2 linked regions of the Lytechinus pictus genome follow. The protein of the gene in region 1 interacts with the protein of each later gene in a pairwise test. Links are inferred from orthologs where the notes say so. Each region holds a gene or a part of one and is shown on either strand. Other genes may lie near its edges.

Region 1 (16,972 bases):
ATAATACATGTTGTCTGATGAGGTCATGGATAAACTTTCATTTTCTGCTATCTCCGTGTACATTGTAGAATGACAATGTTACTCCCACAGGCAGAGTGTGAGTCATGGTTTATAGCTTGGACATTGAGACAATGCCAGCTGATTTCCTTCTTATGAATGACACTTACAAGAGAAATCGACCCACAATCTGTGGTATAGTGAATTTATCCTTTTATGGAAATACTGTATCTGTAGTTTCTTCTTCCTAAACTTTATACTTTTTATTGGTTTGTTTTTGTAGTTTAATAAACTGTAATGATGTAGCATAATTTATCCATTTCAGAGTAATCTCACTCTGATCGTTACAATACACCGGATTATTCCTGAATCTTGGTGAATAGTTGATTTGCATGCGTCAGTCAATAATTGAACAAATCATGTTCAAAATTGGTGTCGAAGAGAACTGTGCTACAAGATTAAAGAATCTGTTTACCTTTGTGAGTATTTTTGTTATTTACATATCACCTTACAAACCAGCTACCTCTCCACAAGAAATTTTGGAATCATTTTTTTTTGCTGGTACAATTTAAGAGTCGCATGAAACAATAGATCCATCATGATTTAAATTTGAGATTCTTTGTCATAATAATGTCGGTATTTTGTTACAAAAAAGTTCTATAGATAGACAATCGTAAAACAATTACAAGGGTAGCTTAAAACTGAGTAGTAGGATATATGTACTGTACATGTAGGATAACAAGTAAATTTACATCAAGGTCATGTTATGTCTTTTATCCGCACATCCTGCCCATTTGATTTATACAGTCATAGATATAGCTATTCACACTTTATCAGAGCGATTGAGAATCTGCAGGAAAATATCAATTTTTATTTAAAGTAATTTACTATTAAAGGCCAGTTTATAAATAGGGTTTAAAAAGTTCTGAAAAGTCGGTCACTAAATGTACCATTACAAATAATATCTCCTATTGTACATGTATATCATAATTGTGGTGAGCAATAATTGTAAAAATTGAATAGATTTCAAAGGGGAAGGACTGTTTTAAAGCCTATAGGGGGGGTATTTCATTGGTCAATACATGAAGCCACACCCACTCCAATGACGGCCCATTAGCTGGAAGTGTCATTCTTAGACAATATCATCCTCCATTAGAAGTTTCCTCTTTTCTCCGCTGTTCGTCTTACGAAATACATGGTTTGTAAGCAAATAACAGGAACTGATATGACATGCCTACTAATCAGTCTTAATTGATTGACGAGATAGCGTGGGAATGCATTGACTGCAGCAAGTGTTGACCGGCACCCACATGCAGTTTACGAGAGCAACAATGCTCGATGATGTGCCAAAACTATTCAACAGTAAAATAAAACTCATTTTGAACTGTCTCTGGATTGAGCCAAGATATGTGTACATGTATACACGTTTCGGACTCTAAATTGCATTGTATGATCAATAGTTTTGACAAGGTTCATACAAGTATCTCTAGCATTTTGACAGTTCTTTGTCTGTGAGGTTATTCTTTCTTCCTGATGATCATTGCGGACCTATAGTTGGGTTCTGGAAAATAAACTTTGGATATTAAAGAAACTGTCAGTAAAAAAACCTCTGTTGCGATGGCGATATGGTATTGTTCAAATTTGCAGGTTCGTGTGCAGTTATTTTACATTGCATGGCATGATCACAAGCTCTCTATTACTGTACTTGAATGATATGACATACTGATACTGTACAGTGTACAGAGTGTTTATAGGCCTAGATGTGTTTGAATTTCCATTACAAAATGCAGGATTGAAATACAATTTGATTTAATTTTTGTTTTTACTTAATTTCATATTTAATAATGTACACAGCATTTCTGTCTGTATGTGTACGTGATGTAACTTTTTCTTTTCTTTGATTTGATGTATAAAATCTCTGCAACCCATTCTTTATATTACACATTTTCACTCATGATGATGGGGGGGGGGTGGTGGTGGTGGTGGGGGTGATGATGATGGTGGTGGGGGTGGTGGTGGTAATGATGATGATGATGATGACGATGATGTAAATGATGATGATGATGATTATGATGATGGTGATGATTATGATGATGACCATGATCATCGTGATTTTGGTGGAAATGATAATGTTGCAGAACATCCAGTAGACCAATATTAAGAATTTCAGAGAAATGATTCATAGTTTATTAATTGAAATGTAGACTTACACGTTTTAATCTAAAGCAATGTGCAGAAAATGTTTTCCTTACAGAAGGTTCCATTTAATTCAAACCCATGTGCTGGGGGACTTTTCTCTTCTTTGACTCCATTCTAATATACTTTCTTGAATGGGTTTCCTGTATCCACTTCCCAAAACCAGTGTGGAAGATCGCTTTGCTATTGATCTCATCACAGTCTCGTTAATTTTTTCAAAACCACTTCACATAAAGCGATCTTGTTGCTATGGGAATGCCCCTAGTATGCGTGAAATCTAAAAAAGGCAACGTACGTATTCTGCACACTGTGTGTACTGAGTAGCGCAGCTGAGCATGACATACTCTTTTATTATTTCCGGGCGAGGATCACTTCCCAAAGAACAGTTGTGTCCTCATCTACGCTTAAACCAGTTTAATGAGGCAAAGCGGTCTTGAAAACCACATTGCGAGGTGGATTTCTAAACTGGTTTAGAAGACCACTTAAGACTGCTTCTAAGACCTTTTTGAGCATTCCCATTACACATTAGTCTGATTTAAGAAAGCATATGAGAATGGGGTCTGACATACATGTACATGAAAATGAAACTTGTCTTTAAGTTTAAAATATCTTTTGTGTTGAACATGCTGCTAATCTCGCTTATCAATGTGGAGATTTTCCATATCCTTAGCTGCAAGTTCCTGTGATAAAATCTGTTTTACAGTATATTTGGAATTGCAAGATAGTTGAACTCTTCTCAATTTCAAGTTTCATGTTGCTCTGTCATCTTGTCCTGATCAGGGTGTATTTGTAATGCTTTCATGAAGCATTTGCTTAGCTGATCTTCGACTTGACAACTGCAAAGGGCCCCCGATGGGATATTAAAAGATCGCTCAAAGAAAATTTCCTGAGCTCGATGAGATTTGTCCTCAAGGAAAAATCTTGGGAACTTTTATTGAAAGCAAAGCCACCGTAGTTGTTGACAAGCAGTGTGTGGATCGAAATTTCATTATGCAGTAAAATTCGTGTGAGCTTTACGATTGCAGAGATGACTTAAACATTTTACCTGGAGTCCAAGATCAAGGCGAGGATGTTCTCTAAGACTTGATAGTGATTCTGTTTGAGATGTCGGTAATGCTAATAACTGTAAAGAGAATGCCAAGGAGACATGGGTTCTCACACTTCACTGTATTTCTTTTTATTTGATTATGTAATTGTTTTGGTAGTGTTGATTGATACTCCTGGAGCTTTCCAATTAATCACCTAGGAATAGTTTGAGACCTCGAATGAAGGGAACCAAGACTGGAATATCTGTGGATGATTATTACGTCAGTGCTGCCACCAAGTTCATGTGCTTCGATTGCCGATTGGGGGCTGTATCCCCTGTCTCTCATTTTGAGATTGTTGTTTAATTAGAAAACAATCATGCCTTCGGTGTTGATAATCTTGCGGTATTTTCCAGTGGACAGTCCTGGAATAAATGAATTCAGCACTGTCTTTAGAGTAACTTAACTTGTAGGAGGTTTAGAAGGAAAAAATGCATGTTCTGGAGGGATAATCTTGATACTTTCAATTGGACAATCTAGGAATAAAAGGATTCAGCACTGTGCTTTGAATGACTTTATAAAGAGATTTGGAGAATAATTGTGCATTTCCTGTATATTTGGCTTCAAATGGCATCAATTATAGTAACAGGCACTGTCTTTCCAATGTCTTTACTCAGTGTGAAGTGTAAATAGTTCGATGATAAGTTTGCTAATATGCAAGAAAATTGCATGAATGACACTTTCTGATGAATTGGTATTGTACATCTAGTAAAGCTCACAGAATAGCACCTGGGTCATTTTGTTTTTGTTTTGATCAGGTATTTAAACCATTCATGCCTTTTGAATGTCATTGGTTTCTCCTCAATCAGTTTTAGTTTCATAGATCCTCAAGTTTTGAGAGTCCTCAGTACATGTAGGTAGTTCATCAAGGAGAAGCTTCAGATTATCACTTTTACTTTATATGAAAACTAGGTTAGGAAATCCATTTTCATTTTTAGGGGTTACCATATTTTTTGTCACATTGGGATGATAACTGGGGAGCGTTTCATCCGACAAGTTGTCAGATCTGACATCTTTCCCTGATTTTGATTGGCTGAGAGGCACTGTTCCCATGGTAACTGTCAGATAAAATTGGATTTGTCAGATATTAAAAGTCCGACAAGTCCTTTCATGAAACGCCCCCCAGAATTTTTTGGGGCTATTTCTTTTACTTCAAGGACAATCTTTTTGCTCAAATTTTATGCTGTAAAATCATACCTCATTTTTCTTCCATATGTACATGTACATGTAGAATATTAATTTTCTGAATGTTCTTGAATAATGTTTGTTTGCAAATCTTGGGGCAAATTTAGAAAAGATAGCCACCCAAAAGCATTCCATTTTGCAAAGTTTAGGGGCAATTTCAGTTGTCATGAGTGCAAAATCGCCTGTTGCCATCAAATATCTTAGTTTGCAAATGAAAACCATTCAAATACATAGTTTATTGGAGATATGTAATCATATGGCATTCAAATTGTCTTAGGAAAAACAAATGAGAAAGAAAAAATCAGTGCAGTCTTGATTTCTACACATGTATTACAAATCAACATCTGTTGAAGTGATATGTGGATAACAAATTCCTTGTAAGATATATTCAATTTTTGGTCAAAATGCATTCTGCAAGGTGTTTGCTTGTTTTTTTCAAGTGAAAAGTGTTATAAGTCTAATATCCTACATTTTCCAAACTCTCTTTTGGTGATCTGCAAGACATGCATTTAAAATGTGTGCGAAGTCCAAACCTGCATTAGATATTGCAAGATACAAATCCCATAATACTTCCTTATTTTTCAAGTGTGGTTGGTGAAGATGACCATGAATACACCATGAATACACATGTAGGCCTACATATGCATGTAGGACAATGGATATTAATCACCTTGAATTGGTTTTCAAACACCTGCTTCAAGTGGGTAGTACCTTGATGAATTTATCTTCATTCTTAATAGCCAACTTGAACTGTATTGCTTCACTGACGCCCCAGTAGGAAAGACATCAAGTTTTTCATCTGACAAGTTGTCAGATCTGACCTACAAGATCTATCCTACAACAAGTATGGCTTTAAAATTGTATTTAGAAAAGAAAAATGAGAACTAGTTTTCAAACACCTGCTTCAACTGGGTAGTACCTTGATGAATTTATCTTCATTCTTTAGCCAACTTGAACTGTATTCCTTCTGATCACTGACACCCCAGTAGGAAAGACATCAAGTGTCTGATTCAAGCTTCTAGGAAATGGGCCTTACGCTCTTAAAAGCAAGGAAATCACAATCATTTGTACGACTCGTTTTGGGGCTTTGATCCAGATCTAATTTATCAAGACAATTGCAGTCACTCCGCGTGCCTGTCTATCGAGATTCCTTCGATCTCCTTGTGTTTGAATCTGTGTGAAGGACGATTCATGAGAAATAAACTGGAAGATTGTCAGGCGTGCTCTTGTGCCGAAATGTTCCGTTATCTTGGACTCGCCATGACTCCACAGGTAAGAATAAACATGGAGAGATTCGTAAAAAAAAAAATTCTGATGCCATGGGGATGGGGGTACTGCCATTCTTTAGTGGACACCAGCGTGGTTTCCATTTTGTGACAGTGATGCCCCCTCGACCCTCTCCCAGTTGATGACATCGTGTAAAAGCTATAATATTAATAATATAGGTTTATTTACCCAGGGAAGCCACTTCAGTTCTGAAAACTGTTCTCCCAGCGGGCCCTGCTATTATACATAATTGGCATAATTATAGTTGCGTTGTTAATTTTGTTTTAGATTGGTTTCGAAGAAAAAGAGAAAGATCACAGAAATGTGGTCTGGGGAAAAAATCTCATGAAAGGATTTGGTTTGTACTGTACATGGCATTACAAGTGGCACCACAAAATTTGTAAAATAACTAGAAAATTATCAGTCGATTTCCTGATGCTGATCAGTAGCACGTATGACCTCACCCACTTTGATTTATATTGCCAATAATGTCAGCCATTAATAGATCGTGAGGTTTTTATTAACATGAATTATTTTGAATTTATAATACATGTAAATATTTGACTTTTATCACAGGAAAGACTTCAACATGAGGAGCTCAAATGTCCCTCTATCAGCAGAAATCTGATTTTTTTCCCCTGTTGAACATGGAAAGCCAAATTCACCACACACTCGTTACAATCACCCTTACCCCATAGGCCCATACCAATGTATACCTTCTCTTTATGTATTTTTAGATATTTATACATGCATGTTACAACTTCCCACAATTGGTAGAAAAATATCATTGCGATGTAACAGATGCATTTAAATAGATAAGTACAATTTGGGAATTAGAATGGTTGTACTTTTTATCTGGTACCCAATGTAAAGTTTAGACTCTTGATGTACAATTGAGCGATTTAATAATAAAAATAAACCTGTTAAGAACTGTTATCAACTGCTTTAAACTTTATATTACAGATGATGAGTCAAACATGAATTGTCCTTTGCGATTCTCCTGTAAAGTGTACTAAAAAGATCAGTACTGTGCTATGTTTTGTGTATATTGATTAATTTCTTATATCAAACTTTGTACAGATTTGTAAAAAAATAAAAATAAACAAACTAAACATTTAAAACATGATGTTGATTACTATTTTGAAGGATGTGAGTCAGAAAGTTTTGTTCACCAATCTGTCAAATCATGGAGTGAAGTGCGACAGAAATTGAAGCAACTGTTCACCCATTGCCCAGGGATGTATCAAATACTCTCAATTCTCCTCATGCATGCATTCACCCTTGTACAGACTGCAGGCACGGACCCTGATTGAAACATTGATCAACAAGTAGGTCTTCAAAAAAAGATTAAACATGTATAAAACTTTATGGTGTTTCAATTGAGAGAAGGCCTTCAGTCCACAAGACATTATAGGCCTAGACCACTTAGGCCCAGACCACTTTGAGTGTTGAACAGAAGACTATGTACATTCTGTATCAGGGTTAAAGATTTGTACATGTACTGTATGTAGGACAAGGAACATTTATGACATCTGGGGCCCGTTGCAGAAAGAGTTGCAATCAATCGCAACTCTAAAAATCATGCTCAACTTGATTTTCAACCAATCAACAGGGCACATTTGTGACTTGCGATTGATATTTTGATTTGCGTTTAAACACAACTCTTCCTGCAACGAACCCCTGGTGGGTGTTTCATAAAGCTGTTCGTAAGATACAAATGACTTTACGCACGACTGGTGATCCTTTCTTGTGCTATAGCCCTATGTAATTGATTTATGACCTGAGAATATGTTCCAGTCGTGCGTAACTTTACGAACAGTTTTATGAAACACTCAATAGTCGTATGCCGAAAGCCCCACTTCAGTACAATGATTTATATAGTTTAAAAACATTGTAGATTGATCACCTTTAGGTTCTTATGATTTTAAGGAATCTATGATGGTAAATTGCCGATTCGTCTGTTTCTAACTCATCCAATCATCAAATGGTATACCTTCATTTTATAATCTGATACTATTTCGTCTAACAATCATTTGGTCCAATCATCATTTCATCTAATCACCAGTTTGTCTATGACCATTTTGTCTCATAACCAGTTTGTCTAATACCCATTTCGTTTTCATTAATTTCGCTCAATGAACATACATAGTCCAATTAGACCAAATGGTATATGTATATGGACTTAAAATGGCTATTGGACCAACTGGTTATTAGACGAAATGGTGAGTGGCCGAAATTGCAATAAGATAGTGAATAACCATGGATACCAGTAGAGTGAGTAGACCAAATGATAGTAGACGAGTTGGTATGGACGAATTGGCATTAGACCATTGAAAATAAGCCTTTACGATTACATGTATGCTTCACATGTGGTTTTAAATTTGAAAGTTGCAAGTGATGCATCAATCCTTAATAAAAATGTAATATGGAAAACTCCCTTAGATAATCAATAGATTATTGAATCATCCATATTTTGGGAATTGACTAATTTCAGATTAAAACTCTACTTAACACAGTTTATTTACACCAACTCCTTTTATTGTCATTCGGCAATTGCACTAAAGTCAGTTTTTGTTTCATAAGGATTAAGAAAGTTGTTGTGTGCTCACTTGATTTATTACCATACTTCTCATTATGGTTATATGTGAGATTGGCTTTCTGGAATTCCCACTTATCCTCTTTCAATTTTTTGTCTTTGATATCCTTGAATTCCTATGATATAGATTGCATTTTTAATAACAATTTCATGGTTAGAAACATGGTTTTGAAACCTGGTATAGCATTTGCACAATATTTGTAATATAAACAGGACTTTTTAAAAATATAAACATTATTTTTAAAAAGGTTTCGTAATGCATGTGTATGACTCAAAATGCTTTTCCTGTAGAAACCCCTCTCTTGAAATCCTATAAATTCAATGTATCCGAAGCCGGGGTGAAATGATGTCATGGTAAAAAATGAAAGCGTTTTTTGAAAGGAAAGTTGCATATAAAATGTACATGTAGTACATTTAAGACACATGGTAAGGAGAACTCTCTAAAGAAATGCTGCTCTTTTAAAGTTCTCTTTCAAAATATTTACTGGTATTCAAGACCCTGTTCCTCAGAACTATATTGCTATACAGGTGAAGTATATGATAAATTGATGATTGATGATGATGATGATGATGATCAGTGTTATAACTACTGTACAGTTGACGGAAGTGGTCGGGCACAACCGGCACAGAAGATTTCTGGCCGCCTCTCATCATGAAAAAACACTGCTTCTGTCCACCAGTAATTTCAAATGAAAAGTGTTTCAAAACCAACTCCTTACAAGGAGAATTGCTCTTGCATTCATTTCCATCTTAGTTTAATCTTGTTTTATTTACATAATGTACGTTAAATATTCTTACATTTGATATATATTTGTTTATCTTCAAAGATTTGCTTTATACATGTACAGTATGTCAGATTTTTATTACATTGATTTACCTTTACTTTTGGCTTTAAGACCGCTAACTCAGCCTGAAAAATCGTGGTAATGCTGTGAAATAGCGACCACTACTACAATGGGTCTAGCTAGAACATGTGATGATAATGATGATACTACATGTACATACATTCTAAATACTTTACAAATAAATTATTACCCCAGTCGTTGGATTCTGAGTTGCCCACTCACACAGCTGTATGGATGTTCTTCACTCTCTGGGGGAGAATTTCAACAAAGGCTTCCAAGCACAAATGCTAAACAGGGTGCATCAATTGGCTATGAATATGCTCTGCGAATGCAACAGTATGTACACATGAGAATTTCATTTTGCGATATTCTCTCACAACTCTTTGATATCTGTATTCATCCTAGTTCTGTAATTATGTGTCTTTTCAGCTTCAAGGAATGACCACCAAGGCAAGTACTGAGAAGAGAAAAATGGAAGATAGACATTCACTGGTCCAAGAAATGGTAAGATATATCAAAACAGATTTCTATAGATTTACTTGTAACATGTCATTCTCAGAGAAAATGCAGCCGTGTTGCATTTTGTAATGTCACACAGAAAAATTACTCGGGGGCTGGGGGCGATATAGCCCTTGAAATGCTTAAAAGAGCCTTGGAAATCCACTTTCATCGCAATGCTATTAAAAGCTTCTCCAATGTTGCAGATTTAGGAAGTAAGTTGTGAGAAGTACCCCCCCAAAAAAAAAAAAAATAATAATAATAATAATAATAATAAATGATAAAAATAAATAAAATAAAATAAAATAAAAATGAAAAAATAATAAGATTTACCTTTATCATAGGAGTGTGAGAGTTGAGTTTTTTTAGAGTTCGGCTTTTTAATGCTGACTTCAGTTTTTTTATTTCTTGATTTGCAGCTTCTTTAGGGTGAATTTCCTCTGTATTAAGCAGGGGTGGGAGAGTCCAGATTTTTAGCTGATTTCAGATTTTTTTGTTTTGATTTTCAGCTTAATTTCAGCTTATTTTGGGCTTTCCTCTACAAAAATTATGGGAGCTCTTTCTGTTTCAGACTTTTTCAACACCCTTCAGCTTTTTTCAGATCTTTTTGTTTGTGACCACTCACACCCCTGATTAAATTAAAGGATATTTTGCAATTTCAGATATTTTATAAATCTCTTTACTGTTGGTCATTCATAGCTCTGAAAATGTTGGCGGATTGAGGCCATTGGCATGTTATAAGAATTGATATTAAAAACTTTTGAGTAAAGTCTTGAAAAAGAAATAACGGGGAAGCCATTCTTACAATATCTTGTTTGTGATTTCACCTACAAAGCTGCCGTTAGCCAATCAGATAAAGGATTTCAGTTGCTACATGTATATAAACTTGAATAACAGCTGTCAGTGATATCATTTGTATTTTAGTCCAACAAAATTTTCTTAGATTACTGTGGAAAGGTTGGACGAGTTTGATTGATATTTACAAATTCATTTCCATTTCGTTCGTATTGTAATTTATATAAATCATTTTATTTTAAAAAAAATTTGTGTATAAGATATCCAGAATGAAATTTGTTTTTGATATATGGTTAACGTGCAATGTCATATTCATAATTCTTCCTCGTTTATAGATTCATATTTATGATTTCTTGATATTTATACCTTGATTGCTGATACAGGATACCTTGTGGAACATGACCTTTGACCAGAGCAAGACACCTATTATGGAAGGTTACCTGTACAAACGGGCAACGAATGCATTCAAAACATGGCACAGGTATGTTCACATCCAAATATGCTTTCTACACTCACACACCAACGAAACTGACCCTAGACCGATCGATGTTATGTCATTGGTATTATTATTGCAGCTTCTGTCAGTCTGGACTCGGGTTTTTGCTGTTCTGATTGTAGCATACCACTGGCATAGATTCAAGTAGGAAACTATAGGGTTGTTGAGGGGGTGGGTGGGGGATGGGGATCCATTGTGTTTTATACCCCCTATTAAACTGCAATAGCAGGAGGTCATTTATCTCCATCCATGAAATCTAAACTGGGCCCCGTAACACAAAGCTTAGCAATGATCGTAGAACATTTTTCTACAATTGATTCCATCGGCTACAATGTACAATCAATCATCAAAATCAAGTGTACGATTAATCGCTAACCTCTGTGTTACGGGACCCAGGTCTATAGTAGCCAGCAAAGGGTTTTGACAAGCAGTTTGTTCTTTTGCACTTGACTACATGTATGTGAACGTCTGGATTTTGGAGTGTCAATTATCGATCTCAATTTTCCTTTATTGTCTTGTGTTTTCTTTAAATACTACAGTATTTCAATTAAATTCATATAGATTGGGGAAAAGATATCTCTTACCCACCAAAATGAGTACTAACAATATTATTTATAGTGAACACCTGCCTTTAACAACTCATACTCAAAAGTTGCAGAAACAATTAGGCTTTAATTCTAGCCATTTGCAAAGTCCAGCTGAACTTTAAGTGAAGGGATTATGACTCCCTCCCCCTCTGTGTTTCAAGTCAACACAGTTTTATTTTGAGAGGGAGACAATAGAGGATTTTTTTAAAAGAAAAGTTTCACTTAATAATATGTTTAATCCTTTTTAGAAGATTCAGTAGTTCGTCAAATAAACTCTGAATATGCCTTCATGGACATGCATCTTATCGGTTTACTGAACATCATTCTTTAAAAAAGAAAATATCTGTTTATTAGTATTCGTCATATTTTAATTCTACTTTTTCATGTAAAGATACCTTTTATTTGATTCATATTAAGTTGATCCCTTTTTTTAATGTTTAATTTTCAGACGATGGTTTACGATAAAGGACAACCAACTGATATATCAGAAAAGATCTAAGGTAAGAATATCATAATTGAAAGGTGGGGGTAGGGGGAGGGATAGTCTGGTTTCAGGGAAGTGAAAAAGTGAAAAAGTCAGTTGACATTTGCATGTAATAATGTTTTAAAAGTACCTACATGTAATGATTAAATGTGATTAATGAACATTGATTTGAATCAATCTCAATTTGAAGTGATTGATCATTAATGAGTTACAATTAGTACGAAATATATGTTGAGTTGATATGCACAACTTTATTCTTAGATAAGGACTACGCTGGGGGCCGTTTCATAAAGCTGTTCGTAAGTTAGGAGTGACTATGAGAACGGCTGGTGATCCTTTCATGCGGTAAATGATATTCACCATTGAATGTTCTTTTGTGATTATTTAGCATGTAAGAAAGGTTCACCAGTCGTTCTTAAAGTCGCCCTTAACTTATGAACAGCATTATGAAACACCCCTCTGAACGGTTTGTATGCAGAAATACATTTTATAATTTGGTTACAATTTTAGTGGCAACCTAACTTTGTGAAATTTATAAAATCTAAGCTGAAAAACAATTGAACTGAAGATCACCAATACAGGTAATCACACGGACAGTTAACCTATCATTTTTTCTTGGGAAAATGTAGTACATTTGGCTGAAATGCCATATTTTTTTTTTCATATCTCAGCTCATTTAACAATTTCTACTAGAATTATTTGGCACATATTTCCTTTCATGCATACATACACTTAATGGTCATTTTATTCAATTTGTTGGGACTCATTTTTAGTTTGTCTGACAATCTGCACTCACTTTTATGTTTATCTTCATGAATATTTTATTTTGGCAGGGTCAAGTGAGCATAGCTTCCGATGATCTTAGACTGTGCAATGTAAAACCATTAGATGAGATAGATAGACGATTCTGCTTTGAAGTGGTTTCACCTGGCAAGTAAGTTACCATCTTTATTTTTATAATTTCAACAATTCTTAGAGCCATCATTTCCTTCTTTTAATGAAACATTTGTCCTTTTCAGGGTAACCACCGGAATAAGTACACAGTATGTAAAATATGTTTTATTGTAAACACCTCCCATACTCTGCACAACCAATATAAATGTATGACCTGAATTATTTCTTTTAAATATATAAAAGTGGAAACGTTGATAAGTTGAAATTCTTGGCTAATCGGAGCCCCTGTTGCAAGTATAAATGTAAACCACATTGCTATAGATATCACAGCAGTCTTTATGATCAGGACTCTGTTGCATAAAAGTTTCTGTTATGGTAACTTTGCCATCCAATGGTAACTACCATGGTAATGCTGATCAACAGCCAATCAGAATCAAGGATTCCATGCAAGTTAACATTGCATGGCAAAGTTGCCACAATGGTAACTTTTGTGCAACGGGGCCCGGGTATGAAATGCAACTTCTGTGGCTTTTACTCCATCTTAAATCCTAGCTCAAATTTTTGTATTCGTATATTTGGTGTACTCTGAACATCAAATGAGATATTTTTTTCTATTTGAATTTGACTTTATAATAAGTTCAAACAACTTGACCTTAAAGATATTACTTTCCAAAATTTACAAAACGGCAAATAAAAAAAAAAATTGATTGCACACGATACTAACGCACACAGTGAGCTGCAGGAGAAAGGGGATTATGTCGCTTTACTATGAATTATCAGGTAATTTTCTCCTTTGCTTGTCTTGCTTCAGAACCATAGTGCTTCAAGCCGATAATGACAACATCCGTCACGCCTGGATTCAGGCATTACAAGCCGGTATTAACTCGGCTTTCAACAGTCCTATCGCTAAGACTCCACCTGCTGCCTTGGAGAGAGAGGTGGGTATTGTGGAGCATTTCATGAAACATGTAATCAGTGATTTGCTCTGGCAAGTGTTATAAGCTACTGAAATGCCTGCATCTGATTGGCTGAGAGCAAATTTTTCAAACATAATTATTGACAAAATACTTAATGAACACTCCCAAGATTTTGCATGCAAATCTGTAGATTAGAATGAGATGAATAAATGGTAATAAATAAAAGAATAAATTTATAATATTGAAAACATAAAATAATTGATGGCATAAAAAAAAAACATGAATAAGAATCTGAGAGCCAGTGGAATTTGAACATGCTTGTCAGGCAGTAACTTTACCACCAAGTTACTAATGATTAATGGCTCAGTTCTGATAGACAATCTATGTATAGATGTTATTTATTTATTGTAATAAAATTCAATTAGCAGCTGAATGCTCAATTGCAATAGTTTCAATATTAGAGTACAAGCAAAAGACAGAAGAAAAAAATATATATATTTTACCGGAAAAAGGACAAGGAAATGGTACACAATAGAAGTAGGGATGTCAGAAAAAGGAAAAGGTGAAAAGAGAAAATGGAAATTTAAAAAAAAAGTAATGATAACCTCATAGCATTTTAGCATTTTAGGTGGCTAATATTGATTGGGGAATACAAATATCTAATTCCGATTCAACCTGACCTGTTCGACTTGTTGGTACATGTATGTATCTGCGTTGCATGATGTTTTGTGCTGTTTCTTGGACTTTACATCTATGTGGCCTGTAATTGTTTGTTTTCTCTGAAACTCTGTTAAAACATTTTCCTGAATTTGATGGGTTTCCTTTATCACCCAAAACTTCAGACTCTCAGTTAAAGCAAGCTGGATGAAGTGTTGGTCGCTTCAATATTTTTTTCATTTGATTGTCTTCTTGTTTGTTGTATTATCTCGTAGGTCAGTGCATTTGATAATGCTTCACCTTCTCCCGTCAGTACCCAACTCTCCAATGAGTCTAAGAAAGAAGGGATTCGAGCTGAGATCATGGCTATGCCAGGAAATGACAAATGCTGCGACTGTAAAGCTGACAGTAAGATAGTTTATTCATTTATTTATTTTATTTCTGGCAAAAGGTATCTAAATACATTGAAAACTGAAAGACCCATTGACTGGTAGCCAGGGAGAGCCCAAAGGACACTGGTTCCTATTAACCCTAAAAGGACTGGGCTATTTGAGATGTATTGAGGACTGGGGGGTTAAGGGTACATTTTATCCCGGGGCGGATCCTGGATTTACATGTACCAAGGGGGGGGGGGCACATTTTCCCGAGGAAAAATTTGACAAGGTTTTAACTAAACATTAAGGGTAGTGGTCACGAAAAAATATTTGACAGGCAAAAAAAAAGGTCTTCACTTTCAAAAGGAGGGGGGGGGCACACTTCTGTTTTAATGGCATTTTTACATAAAAAATTGTAATTGTGCCTCTCAAAATGGGAGTGGGGCTTGGGCCGGCTTTGCCCCCTCCCCCCTCTGATCCGCCGGTGATTTTATGTTACTTTGTTATTTGATATCCGATTTTGATGAAATTTTCGGCATTTTGCTCAGTGAATTCTACTCTATTTATTAAGCTATACATACTTTCAGCCCGGACCATCCCTTTAAGATCACTGGTCAATGTACTTTGAAATAGTCTGTAAACAGTCTGACATATAATCAAATAATTGACAAATTGCACCAAACAAAATGACTTGAGTCATTGGAGTAAGTCATATGCAGGTGATATGTGATCTCAAAGGATTTGGGTGGATGAGGTCCAGGACCACATTGGTCCTCGGGTATGTATGTGAAAATGTCTTGTGCTAAAAGACACAGGGCTTAGATTAATCCAAGGCCATTAAAGGCCAGGTAATGGATGCCCTGTTGACTGGCCTTAATGCCCCCATTGGCCTTTGAAATGTGTTGTGCCCCCCCCCCCCCCCCCCCCATTTGTGCTGTATGGAAAAGTAGCCTTGCTTTAAAAAAATATAAAAGCATTTAAGGCATGTCTACAGATATTTGGATCATGGGTCAAACTTCAAAGTGTGCAATGATCTCTTTTTTTTCCCTGTACAGATCCTAAATGGGCAAGCATCAATCTTGGTATCACTCTGTGTATAGAGTGTTCTGGTGTCCACAGAAGTCTAGGTGTCCACATATCAAAGGTCAGGTCATTGCTACTTGACCAATGGGAACCGGAAACATATCAGGTAAGAACTGCCTTTAAATCTTGATAACATTTTTTTTTTTCAATGGTAACCAGAAAATTGCATCTGATGAATTAAAAATGGCTGTAAAGTATGTACATCTGAATCCCAATATGCAGACTGTTCTTGAAATGGTTCATCTTGGCCAGGCAAGGATCCAGTCAGATTAAGGTATTGTGTCGAGTCTGGCTGGATCCGCGCCTGATCTGGGCATTGTACCTCATATGAAAGAGGTGTAATGTTTCCAAATTGCCGTAGCTTGAGTGGTTTCTGGAGTGAAATAAAAATTAAGAAAATGTGAGTCATAGGTCGATTATGTTATGGAATTGCCTCCTCAGCCAAGAACAATTTTAATTGTTTTAAAATACACTGTAGCGTGGGATAAAGCGTTACTTGCAATCAAAACCTTTCATGAAGAAATACCCACCATACTGTACCTATATGTATACAAATTATGACTACTATGCTGTGTGTTTTTGGTTTACAACTTCATCTGTAATGGGTTGCCAATGTAAATTTTGATCGGTGAATTGAAATATTTTCTTGTCTGGTCTATGGAACACGATAGTAAACATATGTAGCACTATTTCAGTGGCTTGTAACAGTGCCTTGTAACTTGCATGAACAAAATATGATTTAATTAAATAGCCACTGTACCCACCGTGGTTATGAAACAGACATGTACATTTTTCTTGTGGCTATATCTTCTGCTGAAATATGTTGCCAATTTAAACACTGGTCAGTGATTTATCTTTATTTTCATCCAGGTCATGTTGAAGCTTGGTAACACGATAATAAACAGGATTTATGAAGCTGATTTGAGTGATCTATCTTTGGTCCACCCTTCACCGGGATGTAACAGGTTAGTTTGTTCCCCCTATTTTTGCTTCTCCTTTCAGATCTCATTATTAGAA
Region 2 (16,493 bases), on another chromosome or scaffold:
GATTCATCAATGATATAATGTTGTGAAACCTCTGTACTTGCCCTCTCATAAAGAGAACACCTCACCTTGTGATAGATTCTATAAAAGTGAGAATATAAGTGAAATAAGTACCGGTACTAAAGCAATGAGGGAGTTGTACGTGTGTGACATCACAGATCTTGGTCGCATTGCCAATGGGAGGATCTACATGGCATTAGTGATCTCAATATTCAAATGCTCATAACTTTCTTATTATTCATTCAATCTTCCTCAAACTTTCAACAATATGTTTCTTTGATTTTTCTCTTTGATATTGATTCAGCTGGTTTCAAGGGTTTCATTCTCCTTTAAGTTGTTTTGAATGATGTAGATATTTTTTCTTCATCCTTAGAACTTTTCTTTAAAAATATATGCTTTTCACACTGCACATATTTTCCTTAACCCTAGGAAAAAAGGGGGGTCTTAGCCTCACTAATTTCCAAGGGTTAAGCTTAGCCCTCTTCAGTTTCACAGTACGTTTTTATAGCAAAGTGGGCTAGCATGGTAAATAGTACAGTAATATCTGGCCCTGCAAAAAAGCAAGGTTAGCCGGCTTTATTGCGGAGCTTAGAGATGCAGTGTGAAATGAAACCGGGCTAAGGAAAAGTGGGGCTAAGCATTAGCCAATCACAAAAGTCAAAATTGCACGTTAATCACACTCTGTAAGGCAAAAATCATAAATATTCATGAGCTGTACGATAGTCGGGGGTTAAGGCGTTAACCCCGGCTATTAAGCAAATAGTATAGGGTTTAAAAAGACAGTGTGAAACCAAAAAAAAGATAGTATGGGGTTGAGGATAGTCCGGGATTAAGGAAAGTATGGGGTTAAGGAAATGCAGTGTGAAAAGCATAATAGTAACTAAAATTTTTAAAAGTCCATATACTACAGTAAAATAACTAAAAACTTAATTCTCTCCTAATCCCTAGCTTAAAAAAAAACTAATGAGATTGAATTACCATATTTTAAAAAATACATATATATTAGATTTGAGAATTGTCCTATTTCCATAAACTTCACCGACCCTGCTCCCTCCCCCTCACTGGGTTTCGCAAAATAAAATAAAAAACTGATGCTGTATTTTGTTATTAACAATTACTTTACACCTAACAAATCAAACAAGGCAACTACATGTATATATTACGCCTATATGAATATACAATTGAATTTGCATGCAGGGTTTTATATGAATGATTATATACAAATATTAATAGAGACTATTATAGCTTATTAATGTATAGATAACAGGTGACAGTTTGAAGCCTTTTCTGATATAGTATACCTCTTCTACATTAATGTTTTCCTTTGCACTAGTTTCATAGAGTTGAATATTCATCTGTTCTGCAAACTTCTGGGCGTCTTCCGTCTCAACAACTTTCCTGTCTGGTGCATCATTCTTATTGCCAACTGAGGGAGACAGACAAATAATGCAAAGAATAACTGTCAGTGTACTATGTACAATGCATACGTCAAGCCCATTAGAAATAACATGATGATGATGATGATGACAACAATGAGGATGATGATAATCATTATTATTACTTATTATTATTATCATAATTATTGTTGTTGTTGCATTATTATTGCCAGCTAAATCAAACATTTTTATTTCAAATCTTGTCCTTGATACTTTTTGGTTTGGCTTGGATAGATGGCACTCAAGTCAAAAGTAAGCCTAACTATAACAGCGGTGATTCGGAACTTAATACAATGAATGGTTATCAAGTGCTTTTTATAGTTAGACCATTCATTCCCAGGTACCTATAGAATGGGAAGTCTGTCCTATTACAACAGTTTCAATAGAAACAGAAAAATAAAAGGAATGTTTTATGTAGGCAACTGTCAAACAGAAAGGAAGAACTAAATATGATTGAAGTTCAACCTCGCTTTAGAATGATTCATTGCTATCAAAAGAGATAATTTGTCCTACACTTCACCAGTGGTAATCATAGTATCACTTATCTCCGAAGGGGCTGTCATACCTAGATAATTTTAATAGCCAGAGTATTAAAGCAAATAATGTATGGCAATCCAATGTATCATATATTATTTACCCATATCAGACAAGAATATACAGCATATAGAGAAAATATTTTGAACAATCATGTCTTTTAGATGTTGGCGTTGCTGGCTTTCCATAGTTGTGGTTCGGCCAAGGTGTGAAGCCCCTCTAAGAGTCATACTTACCTAATATCCTACTGACGTCTTCACAATTCTGATCTATTTCATAGAGCCATCTCTTCACGTTGACAAATGATTCTGCACTACATACATCATAGACTACTATCACTCCATGTGTCCCTCTGTAATACCTGCAAGCAGTCACATCATCAATATGAACATCATTTTATATAAAGCCAGTGTAGTTCATTCCAAACAAAATACAAAATCTATGAAAATATATCATTAAAATAAACCATTAAAACTCAGGTACATTGTACATGCTAGTAATACAATAAATTGGATATTTTGTATTTTCAGGCAAATAGATACATACGCATTGCTTTGCTCTAAAAGTATACTATTTGGTCTTTTAGTATTGTGACAAGCACAAGGGTATATATTGTAGGAAGATCTACTGTACATGTATCATGATTGGTTTATATTTGATTCAAAGGTTAAGGATGAGTTTCAAGTTATGTATTGGAGGCAAAAAACTTGAACAGTGATTACTATAAAATCTATCTTTTACAGCAAGACCAAATGAAATGTTCACAGATGCCACAATCGACGACAATACTGTAGGTGGGGAAAACTATCAGGGCTGGGCCTATTGTACACACAATAACAGAAATAAGGTGTTTATTTATTGGAAAAAATAGGAATTCTGATTTTAGTCTTAAGTGGTATCCTTGAATTTAATATACTTAACAGATTCTGGTTGAACAAGGAATTAATTTTGTCATTCATCCACCTTGATAATGATAATGAATTTAAAGTAAATACCAGAAATGTGAGTGTACTTTTAGGTTGAGCATTATAATGCACCCAATCCAAACACAACCCTCTACAGAGTACATGTATTTTGAGATGGAGAGAATATGAGATTGAAATGTTGACTTTCAACATTCTCCACATCTTTCCATGGGAGTTATCTAAATAATTCCCTGACTTTCCCCCATGCCGTCGCTCTCATATATCTTGCCCTTACTCTGCCACTATTCAAATAAACAGGTACAGCCATATGCTACAGCCATACCAAACCTGCTCCAGAATTAACAACTTTCTGAAGTCTTACTCCTCATTATCATAAACATCATCACAATTTTCTCTTTAACTTTTATTTCCTTTATAGAAGTGGAGGAGGCAGAGCTCTACTCTTTGCCTTGTCTCCATAAAACAGTTTAAAATGCTGTCAGTACATGGATTTACATGTACAATGTATGCATGCAGTCGAGTGTCCCAAATGACATGAAGTTTTAATAGCAAAGAGTGCATTTCATTGAATATTGATATGTTGACTCATGCTAGCAATTCGCATGACCTAATGTCGCATGTCAGAAGATGTCCTTTATAACTCATACATACATGTACACCGTATACAAATGACATAAGAACCGGGGGTCTTGTTACACAAAAGTTGATATGAGTGCACAACTTGCTCTCATCCAATCAATTACCCCCGGGGGGGGGGGGGGTTGGCAGTCAAATATATTGCTGTACACATGCATGACAAAAAAACGTGTTTAAAGGGGTGTTTTTTTTTTCCGTTTTGGACGCGGGCTGCGCTTTCACTAATTAAGGGTATCAAAAACACTGATTTACAAGAAAAAGGGTGGTTTTTGAAAGACTGCTCAATGGTCAATCGCAGGGTCAAACGTATTTACTCTATCAAGCCATACTAAGCATTGTAACATCAAAATATCACAGCTAATTATGCAAAATTTACATACGTGTATGTATCCGCCTGTGAGCAGCACATTGTCTACAGGCACAGACCCTGATTGAAATTTTGATCAGCAAGTGTGTCTCCACGCAAAGACTAGCACATACAATACTTGCTGTTTCAATCCTGAGCGAGAGGGCCTTCAGTACACAAGGCATGAGTAGGGTGCACATTTCAGACCCTTAACTCGAGTGAAGGGTTTGCACAGCAGACTAAGCAGCACGGGTGACCATGTGTACAGAGTATGTACTTTTGTAAACTGCATGCTAGCCAAACTTTAAGCCTGGTATGGGGCTGACAGATTTAAATACTTGGCTAAAAAGGGCAATTGAAATAATGGAATTTAACTTTTAAAAGCAGGATACTGCTCACGTAAAATACTTAAAATTGTAGCAAAAGTATTGAACCGAATACTGGTCCAAGCCTACAAATGCACAGTACATGTACAGTCCTAATTTGCCACCCCTTACGTTGATGTGATGGTTCTGAATCGCTCTTGTCCCGCCGTGTCCCAGATCTGTAACTTGACCTTTTCACCTTTGACATCGATCGTCCTGATTTTGAAATCTACACCAATAGTTGTAATATAGGAACCTGGAAAAACAAAAGGAGGAAAAGTACATAGATTTGTATGAATGAATCAATTAAATGACTGTTGAGGGGATAATCGAAACTACGAAAGGAAACTGGATATGCATAAAAAAGCAAACTCGATAGTGGTACACACTTATGCAAACTATCAGTTTATTGCTACTAGAACACATCCATCACAACAGTAACCATACCTCTAAAACGTATAATATCCTTATTCATATTTTTTTACAAGATTGGTAATTTATCATTTTTTACAATAGAAAACACATTGGTACTGTGTACATGTACATGTACATGCAATTTCCAAAAGAGAAATTTAACAGATAAGAACAAGAGGCAAAAATTGAAGAAAGATAAAATCATACTGCCAAATTTTGGTAAGAATGGGGGGGGGGGAGGAGAAAGGATCTAAAAAACAGAAAGATACATGTTTAGAGAGAATGTGTGTAGCCTATGAGAAAAAAAAACTTTTTCTGACAATTCTTTACACATAAATGAGAGGAAAGTAGGTAAATATCAATAAACAATGCAATCATAATCACTTTCTAAAAGGCACTCCAAAAGAAGTATAGAAGTTTATAGACGGGATGATATTGATACCTGAACATACAAACTACATCTTTTGTACATTTTTCTTCTTTGACAATTTGTTTAATCTTCCTAAAAGATGGAGGTTTGTTTTTTACCTTTATCAGATTAAATATACTTGGGCAATGTCCCATACTGACCACCCCCCCCCCCCTCCCGCTAAAGAAAACCATGGCATTTTACACTTTTGCAGTACTTCTTACAACAAGTGATATACCTGGTTTCCAACTTACCTGAAAATGTGTTGTCTGCAAATCTCAAAAGAAGACTACTTTTTCCTACACCTGCAATCAGAAAACACAGATAGAAAATGCAATTTTAAGTGAAGTCATACAAAAAAAATCATGAGGGAAAGGGTTAATATCATAATTCAAGGGAACAAGTCATTAAATAGAAGTAATAAGTTAATATACATTGTAAGTCAAGGGATCAAGCCAGAGTATTAAAGTTGTGGGAACGAGTTAGAAAAAAAAACATGTCAGGTGTCAACTTTGGGGCTTCATGATAAAGGCACAGCTCTTTTATTGACCAATAGTATCATCAATGGCAATGTCATCTGACAAAGCAACCCTAAATTGCTTCACTCCACAGTTAATACTTTTCCTATAAATTTAAACAATGACATACAAGTACAAGGATCTGTGGCTGAATCAATCACACAGGACTGGGTTCTTTGCTCAGCAGCTGACTTTACATGTATGTCAGGCATATACATGTAGGTATATGTAGTGCCTTTTAATTCTTTGATCTACATGTACATGAGTTATCGCAACAATATGAAACAAAAAGTATAGTGCAGCTGTAATCTATGGACAGGGCAATAAATCTTTTGCACTGTAGCTACATTTACACACATAAATACATGTATGTAGATCTACATGTATCTCTCTCAATATGCTACACTACTGAGCATATAGTGTACATGTAGGCTTCTAGGCCTTCATGTTAGTAAATGTTGATGTACTGTAGTTTAAAAGTGAAAATTTCCACAGAATATATAATGTATAATTTGTGTTCATTAATAAATTTACTGCATGTACCTTCTAAAATAATAATAATCATGAAACTATATGAATACAGTTACATGTAGCATTGAGGCAGGGGAACTACATTTATTGATTGAATGTATAAAGGCATACACTAACCCGCTTTGGGTTCCAGGATTCCAGCATCATAATTTTCTGTTTATTAACTACAAATAATTATAAAGCAGCTACAGCACATGTACGGTAAAACTTGCAGGTTCAACATGTTTTCAATGCCTGTGAACCCCCTCCACAAACTTTGGAGGTGCAGCAAGTTAAAGGGGAAGTTCACCCTGACAAAAAGTTTTTTGTAAAATAAGCAGGAAAAATCATTTTAAAATATTGCTGAAGTTTTGAGAAAAATCCATCAAAGAATTAAAAAGTTGTACGAATTTTAATTATTTGATTTGTGACATCACATGCGAGCATCATTCCTACATCTACATGTAGCAAATGGTAAAAAGAATCAATGAAATGTAATTTTCTCAAAAAATTGAGAATGGTTTTTACTGTAGGACTACTTTCATATATATGGACAAATCACTTCACACCCGATCATGAAAAGAAAACGAAAATACGTCATCAGGAACCATTAAAAAAATGAAAATCACAATTATTCATGATTTTATATCATATAACATATGGGCAGGTGCTCGTTTATGACGTCACAAATCCAAAATTAAGAATTTTAATAACTTTCTTAATCTTTAACGGATTTTCCTCAAACCTCCACCACTATTTTTAATTATTTTTTCTGCTATTTTTACAACAAACGTTTCTTCTGGGTGAACTTCCCCTTTAATTTCATTATTTTCTCAAATTTTTAACAGATTGGCTATACATTTAACAAGTACTTGGCTGTATATTTCAAAGTAGCCTTGATAAACTGCCAAATATCAACTGGTGGCATTCTTTCTGAAATCAATGACAAATGCAGCAAATTTGGCATACAAGAATTAGCAGTTGCAACGTTAATAAGACTCAGATTGGGGTGTGTCATGTTGGGCTTGAAAACACTCAATTAAAGCCACCTTTTTAAGTTTAAGTCCACCCTAACAACAAGTTACATTAGATGGAAATCTTGTCTCATATTGAAGAGAAAATTAAACAGCATAGCCCTGAAAAGGCCAAAATAATACAAATAATTGATATTTCAAACTTATGCTTGACACAAAATAGATCTACACTGTATAGGCTTGTACATGTATGCAAAAACATCTGCAATAGAGAGATTTCATGATATTGCATGCTCATTACATGTACATGTACATGTATTTCTTTTTATTTTATTGTATGAATCACACAATATTTCAATATTTGCAGATTTGACAACATTCAAGGAAACTCTTTAACAATTCAATCATGTTGTGCAATAAGTACAACAATGGCAATTTTGCATCATCAGGAGGGATCAAACTTTGTTTCAATTTATAGGAAAATCTGTTTTGAATTACCAACTGGTACAAACCAATAGAATACTTGATACATGTAGATGTACAAAAACAAATTAACCAATTCGTGAAAGAGGATGGACCAACAGGAAATTACATGTACATGTACATCGAAATAAGTTTTATAATTGTTAATAATCATAATGATTTTACTCAGGGTAGCCACTTCAGTTCTGTTGGAATTACCCCCCCCCCCCCCCAAGAAAAAATAATAAATAATAAATGACAAATAAATAAATAAATGAATAAATAAATACATAAATAAATAAATTAAATAAATTTGAATTGAAAATAAAAATGAAAAAATAAATGAAAAAAATTACAAAAATAAAATTCAAGAAAGGGGACATTAAAAGATTGAAGGAAAAACAAAGAAAATAAACCGACAGAGGGAAAGGGGGGGGGGGGCTTTATGGGAATACATAGGCCTATACATGTACATGAAAAAATACAGGGAGATATAGGGGAAATTAACATACATGTACATGCTAAAGGAAATACATGTCAGCCTACATGAAAATAACAGTAAATCTTCATGCAGCACATAAGCTTGTGTGGCATGTACTGTATAATTATGTAGGAACTTCATTGCATTTATTTACATTATACAATACAATGGAATATTGTGCAGTTGCCAAGTCACTATTACATGTAGATACAGGTCCTACATGTGCCCAAAGACTCATACATGGTCTATAATAGTAATGTTGCCATTCTTTAAAGCAGATATGAACCAATAGGCAATAGCGCCATCTCGAGTCCTCAACTACTCATACCTGGCCAGTTTCCTGACCCATAATGCTAGTGTAGTCAAGTAATATAGACCCACTTGAATGATAACATGTTAATTAACCACTCAATACATTTACAAGTATACCGCAATAATTATGTTACAAAGTAGCAAAACGATTATTATTCCTCTCAAAACATTTTAGTTTCTCTATACAAATACAATTATAGGTCAATTTATTCTCTGTAGTGTTAGTAGATATCTGAAAACGTATATTTTAAGACTATGTATTTGTAAAACACAGTCAATGAAAGACCACACACAGTTCACTCCCCCTTTAAAATGTAGGGAGTCCACTTTTTGTTTCTTCCATGCAGTTTTATATGTAAAAACTAATACCAAACAGTTCGGACAATTACCGTATAGTTAGAAAAATCTAAGAGAGTACATGTAGCAGGTTTCATAGTGGGCTGTGCACATGAGTAATACAAATGTGCACTTTACTGCTCCATTTAGTGCCCATCCAGCATGACTTTTGTTTTGGGGGGAGGGGATATGAGAAGGAAAAATTGGGTCATGAATTGCTTATATACTTTTATGGCCAGTGAAATAATTCTGAACTCTGTAATTATGGCACCATGATGTAAAAATATTAAAAGGCACAGACTTAAAAAATGTCTGGCAAAAAATGCAAATGTCACATGTTGTTAACATTTGTATTTGGTGAATAATAATACAATAATAATAACTAAAAAGAGGGTTTATAGTTTATGCACACATATAAAACTCTATTTCTACAATGCAGTGTATTAAGCTCTCAAATGCTGCAAGAATGTAGATCTAGGCTGACATGTTTTTTTTTACTTTGTTGATTTTATTCTTATCAATAGAATTATCATCACCTGTAATATTATCAAATTCACATTATCATCACCTGTAATATTATCAAATTCACATTATCATCATTATCATCATCCTCATCATCAACATCATCACCATATTAAAGGTTTTAGCCTTAGGTTTGAAAGACTTAAACAGTACCATGCAAGTAACAAAATGTAGGCCTAAACTGTCAGTCAGCTGTGGATTTTTCTGGGAATGGGACGTTTAAATACATCCTGTACATGTATGTAAATACTCCTCCAACTTCAAACACTTCCTTTAAATGTCTGGCAAGCAGTTAGCAAGCCTCCAGAGAGAAGGGTATAATGTGAAGCGCAGCATTGAGTTATTTATGGCCATCAGAGGGAGAATGAGGATATTCTGTCACTGGTGATTTCCCTATGACACTAAATTGATCATGACCCACACCATACAACACTGACACCGTTCTCACTACCGTCCTAAAATACTGGAAACTACTTTAGTGGAAACTATTTAATGCATAATGAGAATGGTCAAAGCGGTCTTGGAAGCGATCATCAAAACTGGTTAAGAAAACCACCTCGCGATGTAGGTTTGAAGATCACTTTGCCTCATTAAACTGGTTTTATCGTATTAAAGTGAGGACACGACCGTTCTTTATAGGAAAGCGATCTTCGCACATTTCGAGTGCGCTACTCCACACACTGTGTGTAGAATGCCTATGCTGCAGTTTCAAATTTTGTGTAAAACATGTCACCCCACTAAGAGTGTACCCATAGCGACAAGACCGCTTTACGTGAAGTTGTTTTGAAAACCACTTTCCGGTGACCAAATGGAAACGCTCGCAAAGCAATCTTTTGAACTGGTTTCCTGAATCGGTTTCCAGTAAACCAGTTTTAGAAAGTATAATGAGAACGGTGTCACTGTCTTCTAATAATATTGCAATTACATAGTGTTCACACTGGCCGGGGGGGGCGGTGGCAGAAAGATGCCATGAGCGCCACTTTCAGAGGATGCGGAAATTCAAAAAGACAAAAGAAAGAATGTATTAAAGGGGAAGAAAAAAAAAACACTTTTAAAATGTTATCTCACAGGCAACTACACAATACATAAAAGAAGCTCCATGGCATCAAAATGTGGATAGGGCACAACCTGGATTGTGGATACTGTATCCTGATGTAAATTTGATGTAGACATATGGCCTATTATAAACCTCTCTTTAAGAATGTCGAATAATCCGTTCCTCTGATTGGTCAAAACTGAGGTCATGTAAACGACCATGCCTTCAAAACAACAAATTAAGGTGGTAACCAAGGGCAACGGGCATAGTTAACAAGATTTCTGCTTGTTGCCCCCTGACCCACCCCTTAACGACGGGCATGGCAAAATTTGGCCGAGATCCCCATTTGATTGCATGCAAAATGTTGCTTTCTGCGGTGATTGCGGATACCATAAATATCCGCGCGATTTGATCGGAAGTTTTAGACAATTCGCGCATTTACGCGCTTATAGCGCTAGTGCGCGCAACGGATATGTCACATCGATGGAAAGATGCCGATCTTTGTCTTTTGCTTGTTGATTCCTGTTAAAATATATGGCATTATTTAAAAGAAGACTAACTTATTAAGGACATAACGGATGTATCAATCATCAAGTCTTGTTGCAGTTTTTCATTGAAATGCATGCTCGCAAAAGGTGAGTCGAATGAAAAGATAATACCGTACGGTCACTGCACTTTCTAATTAAAGTTAGATTTATAAGTAACGTTAGAGTCTAACGTTAGACTACTCGTTAGGTATGACAAACGACAACGTTAGGTCGTGAAATCTACCGTTAGCTTTTATAGGAGTTAAGAGTAGATTCAAGATCTAAGTTAGATCTAATTAACGTTAGGCCTAATGTTCCGTTTAATCTTACTTTGGATTTGACGTAGCCGAGATCTAACGTTCATGACGTCGGTTAGATCTAACTTAGACTGTAACGTTAATGGAGATTTAACGTTAAGTCAGTAAACTTAACTTGGGGTAGCCTAGTTCAGACCCTAATTTGGTTCCTAAATAGGCCTAGTGGCAGTACTCAGTAGATCTAATTGGTATGGAATGCTTTAGTATTCGACTTCGAGACCTAACGTCAGGGGCAGGGCTAAGTTAGGGCCTAACGTTAGGCCTAATGTAATGTTAGCCTGTGGCTTAGGGCTTTTAGGCCTAAAACTTGTTTAAGATCTAGATCTAGCGTTAATTCGGTTCATAAAATATATATGGACTGCTTTTATATTTCGGCTCGCGGGTACCGCATCGGCCAGACCATGCCCTCGGGCATAGTCGCGCTGCGGCCCCCTTGAGCCTCTAGAAACAACCATGCCTCTCAAAGCAGTCCATATATCTATACTGTATTTCATGAATGGAGTACAGTGTATGAAATACATGAGGGTCATGTTTAACCCAAACAATATTCAAGAAAGTTCAGAAAATCAATATACAACAGAATGGGAAATGCATCATTGCTTGCTGCACAAAAAGTGGCCCTTGAAAATTAAATAGCCCTCAAAATTCAGTAATTGCCCCCAATGTGGAAAAACTAGCACAGGTCCCTATCCTGATGGAGTATGAACAGGCAAAATTGAAAAACAATGAAGAAAATATTTTTCTCTTACTGAAGAAGAGTGACACAAATAATGCAAGCATACATTATCTGACTGATTGAATTAAAAGGACAGTTGGTGAAATCGTTTTAAATTTTTTGAGAAAATAGTTTGTTATGGAATATGTAGCCCCTATCATATGCGTTTTACATAATTTATGGCAAAATTCAACTTTCCTTGTTCAAAACTGCATGTAAAGGCCTACATGTATAGGTCAAGGAAGTCCATGTGAACTGTAGTAGCTAGACAGGCCTTAACAGGATGTTTAAGAATACATGTAGTTCTACATTTTGTTTCAGATATTACACTTGCTCTTCAATTTAATCAATTTCACTCCAGTTTATCTTATAGTTAGACAGTCTATCAAGATACTTTGTGGAAAAAACTTGAAGAAGGGTTCACTTAATATTAAACTGCATTTACCAAAAAGCTGAAAATGATGTGCACAGCATTTTCTTTATTACAATATATCACACTCACATGTACATACATACTATGTGTATGTTTGTAAATATTGCAAAATTATTAGCTTTGTGACATACATGTACTGTACATGTATGAATTTTTTAAAAGATTCATAATGTGAATTGGCTGTATTCAGGATTAACCCGTGTACATGTACACGTACATGTAGGCAGGGCTCCACACTAACCCATTTTTTCTACTGGTCCAACCTATTCGTGTCGGACCAGTAGATACCCAGTTTTTCAAATTTTTACTGGTCCGAACCTAAAATCTACTGGTCCCAAAAAATAAAGAAAACATTAAATATAGGCGCAAGTTTATTTTTCTAGCCTTTCGTTCCCCCCCCCCCAATAAAATGAAGGAATGAAGGACAAAAAGAAAGCAAGACAGAAACGAAGAAAGAAAGAAAGAAAGAAAAGAATAAAAGAAAGGAAGGAAGAAAAAAAGAAAAGGTAAAGAAAGGATAGATGTGAAGGAAGGAAAAAAAGAAAGAACTAAAGGAAAGGAAGGAAGGAATAAAGAAGGAACAAAAATAAAGAAAGAAAGAAAAGAAAAAACGAAATGAAGGAAAGAAATGAAGCAAGCAATACAGAAAGAAAGAACAAATCCAGTAAGTAGTAAAGGAAAGAAAGAAGAAGCAATACAAAAGAAAGGGTAAAAGGAGAGATGGAAAGAAGGACAAAAGAAAGAATGAGAGGAAGGAAGGATTGAAAGAAGGAAGAAAGGAATTAAGGAAGAAATAAAGGAAAGGTAAAATGATAGATAGAAGGAAAGAAATAAAGGAAGGGAAGGAAAGAAGCAAGCAATATAAAAAAAAAGAGAAAAGAATAGATGAAAGGAAGAAAAAAAGAAAGACTGAGAGACAAAGAAAGGAAGGAATGAAAGAATAAAGGAGAGAAAGGAAGCAAGCAGTCAAAAAAAGAAAGGAAAGATAAAAGGATAGATTTAACAAAGGGAAAAAGGAAAGAACAAGACATATATAAGAAAGGAAGGAATGAATGTAAGAAAGAGAGAAAAGGTTGGAAGAAGGAAGAAATAAAAAACAACAAGAAAGGGTAAATAAATGATGGATGGAAGGAAGAAAGAAACAAAGAAAGTAACAAAGAATGAAGGAAAGAAAAGGGTAAAAAGAAGGAAAGAAAGCCCGAGAGAAGAGATGAATATAGGATGGATGGACTCAAGAATTAAAGAAAGAAAAATATCAAAAAGAAAAAAAGGAAGGAAGGAAGAAAGGAAGAAAGAAAGAAAGAAAGGAAGAAAGAAAGAAAGAGAAAAAAGAAATAGAGAAAAATATTTTTAAAAGGAAAGAAAGAACAAATTAAAGAAAAAAGGGAAATTAAAAAAGAAAGACAGTAACAAAAAAATTGAAAGAAAAGAGGGAAGAAACAAAGAAAGATGGAAAAGAAAGAAGGAAAGAAAGATAGGAAGAAAACAGAGGAAGAAAGCTAAAACTATCATCAAATAATTTACCAGTTTCTTTTTGGCTCAATTAAAATAGCTACGAAAGAAAGTCAGAAACCAAGTGTATCAACACACACATAAATGCATATGTGGGGCTATTATGTATTCAGAAGATATCACCCGAAACCCGATCTGTTTGAACCAAAACAGAAGTGAAAATTTCTCCTTTTACTGCTTACAAATGACAGAGTTACTCCAATTTTTAGAAAATATGGACTTATAAGAGCCTTTCATGAGTATAAACCGTGAATTTTTACAGTTCTGTGAGACATTTCTGCCAGAGTTTAGCCAAGCTTCGTTCGCGCAGCCAGTAGAGAATTTACCACGTGGGTTGTGTGGCTGGCTACATGTACACTGTATGCTACTCTAGTGTGTGTATTCTGTGTGTGAATGACAGAATTTAACGGGGGGAAATAGTTTGCAGTGAATTTGACCATTTCTGGAAAAGTTATTGGCCCAACAGTGGATTTTATTAGTGGTCATGTCGGACCCTTAAATCTTGCTATTTTTGGAAAAATTAGTGGCCCGAAAATGATATTTTTTACTGGTCATGTCGGACCAGTAAATCTTCCTATTTCTGAAAATCTACTGGCCCGACAGCGATTTTTACCGGTCTGGGACCGTCGGACCGCCGCTAGTGTCGAGCCCTGATGTAGGGGAGAGGGGGGGGGGGCAATTTGAACCCCCTGGCTTGAGAAGTTTTGCTCACTTTCAAATTAGGCCAAACTGACTGCTAGATGAGAGGTATGTTAGCATTGGCACTGATTGTCTATTTTTTGAAGCGACATACATTCATGGTTAGAAGTTGCAGTACATTGTGTACATGTACTTTCAATTAGCACTTTGCAAGGAGTAGTAATTAACAAATACATGTACATGTGGGAGTCGGATGAGTGAATTTCATTTCATAAGTGGTTTTTCCACTTGGGAAGGGGGGGGGGAATAATCCATCTACCCTGTCACTTGAATTTTCATAAAGTTCCTTTGTTTGGTACATGTTAAGTAGCCATATACATGAGAAGGCCTGAAGTACAGTGTATGAAGTTAACTGAGAATCCTTTTGATTTTTCGCCTGGATGTGATTGTATGCATACATGTAGTGCCCCATGTAGTCCGGGTTATAATTGAGCAAGGTGCCACAAGAAAAAGGAGAAATTTTCATATAGTGCTTCTAGACCAGTTATTTACGCTGAATATGAATATATGAGGTAACCAGGCTGTATCCTGAAAATTAACCCGTGAGGGCGCTTTTTTCAAAATGGCCGCCAAATTTTCAGAACATTTGAATTTTCGTACGTAGATTTTGACATAAATATTCCATTGCCACAAAATTAGTGTCATATGAAAGACAAATAAATTTTCTACAATTTGGTACTATTTATAGGGGATAAGTAGGTCATTTGGCTGAGATTTTAAGTAGAAAACTGCATTTTTTGTCATTTTTTCCCAAAAATTGAAAATTTAGCAAATACATGATTTTACATAATTCTGAGAAAAATGAATGAATTACCTTGAAATGTTCCAGAAAACTTTATTGACATACTATTATCATGTGGATGAAATTCCAACTCTGTATCATTCTTTTTAGCAAATTTATAAGGTATCAAACTTGAATACTTCAATTTCAGAAATGTCGCTTTTTGTATGCATTTCCATAGACTAATACGTATAACATGTACATGTATAATATGTATAATGTATAGTTTAATAAAATTTAAAGGCAATTATCTCCGCTTTTTAACCACTTGGAGAGTTAAGAGTAGGCTTTTCTCTATCAGCTACATAAAACAAAATGTTGGCACATCGAGGCCTAACACTCTCATGGGGTGGGGGTGTCGAAGCCCCCCCCCCCCACCCCCTTTGGCTATATCATGTTGTTGTATATTGCCTATTGGAAAATCACTATTTTTTGAAGCACCCATTGAGGCAAAAGGCATTTCTGCTATACAGTACAGCCACTTTAATTACTTTGAAACCACTTGGAGAGGAAAAGAGTAAGCTTTGTCATGTTTGTTCTACCAGCTATATCAAAAGAAGTGGCACGTACATCGAAGCCAACCCCTCTCGGGGGGGAGGGCGCTGGGGGAAGTCACCCCTCCCCCTTTTGCTTATTGCCAATGTATTTGGAAATTCACCATTTTGGACCCAACATTGAGGCAAAAAAGCGTTTGTGCTTTAGAGTATTTTATCAATTTGAGAGAGTAGAGTTTGTTCTACCAGCTTCATAAATAAGCGCTAGCACATCGAACCCTAGCCCTCTCAGGGGCTGTCTAAGTCACCCCCTCCTCTATATCATGTATGTTGCCTATTTATTGGAAATTTCACCATTTTGGATCACCCATTGAGGCATAAGGGCGTTTCTATATCATACAGCCAATTTTATTTTCTTGCAATTACTTTGAGAGAAAAGCGTAGGCTTTGCTCTATCAGCTACAAATTATTAAGAAGCGCTGGCACATCGAAAAATATCCCTCTCAGGCGCTGTCTAAGTCAACCCCTCCCCCTCTATATCATGTATATTGCCTATTTATTGGAAATTACACCATTTTGAATCACCCATTGAGGCAAAAGTGCGTTTCTACTATATAGCCAATTTCATTTTCTTGCAATGACTTGGAGAGGAAAGAGTAGGCTTTGCTCTATCAGCTGCATATAAACAAGTGCTGGCAAAGAAAAGCCTACTCCTTCCGGGATGCTGTTGAAATCACCCCATCCCTTTTGCATTATAGCATATTTATTGAAAAATTCACCATTTTGGAGCCCCCATTTAGG

Evidence for each region.
Region 2: the proteins of arf-GAP with coiled-coil, ANK repeat and PH domain-containing protein 2-like (region 1) and ras-related protein Rab-35-like interact in a two-hybrid assay, tested with the Caenorhabditis elegans proteins (2 studies listed by BioGRID). The link is inferred for Lytechinus pictus from reciprocal best matches to the Caenorhabditis elegans genes cnt-1 and rab-35.

What each region holds. Positions count from the first base shown.
Region 1 is NC_087258.1:14,596,336-14,613,307, forward strand, and holds the start of arf-GAP with coiled-coil, ANK repeat and PH domain-containing protein 2-like, read left to right. Parts: upstream 1-8,273; 5' UTR 8,274-9,608; coding exon 9,609-9,674; intron 9,675-10,846; coding exon 10,847-10,944; intron 10,945-11,994; coding exon 11,995-12,046; intron 12,047-12,863; coding exon 12,864-12,964; intron 12,965-13,735; coding exon 13,736-13,862; intron 13,863-14,773; coding exon 14,774-14,906; intron 14,907-15,927; coding exon 15,928-16,061; intron 16,062-16,825; coding exon 16,826-16,920; intron 16,921-16,972. UniProt on the Caenorhabditis elegans protein: GTPase-activating protein for the ADP ribosylation factor family. Regulates endosome recycling downstream of rab-10 and upstream of arf-6.
Region 2 is NC_087246.1:23,244,801-23,261,293, reverse strand, and holds the start of ras-related protein Rab-35-like, read right to left. Parts: upstream 7,110-16,493; coding exon 7,061-7,109; intron 5,369-7,060; coding exon 5,318-5,368; intron 4,497-5,317; coding exon 4,373-4,496; intron 2,329-4,372; coding exon 2,204-2,328; intron 1,424-2,203; coding exon 1,299-1,423; intron 1-1,298.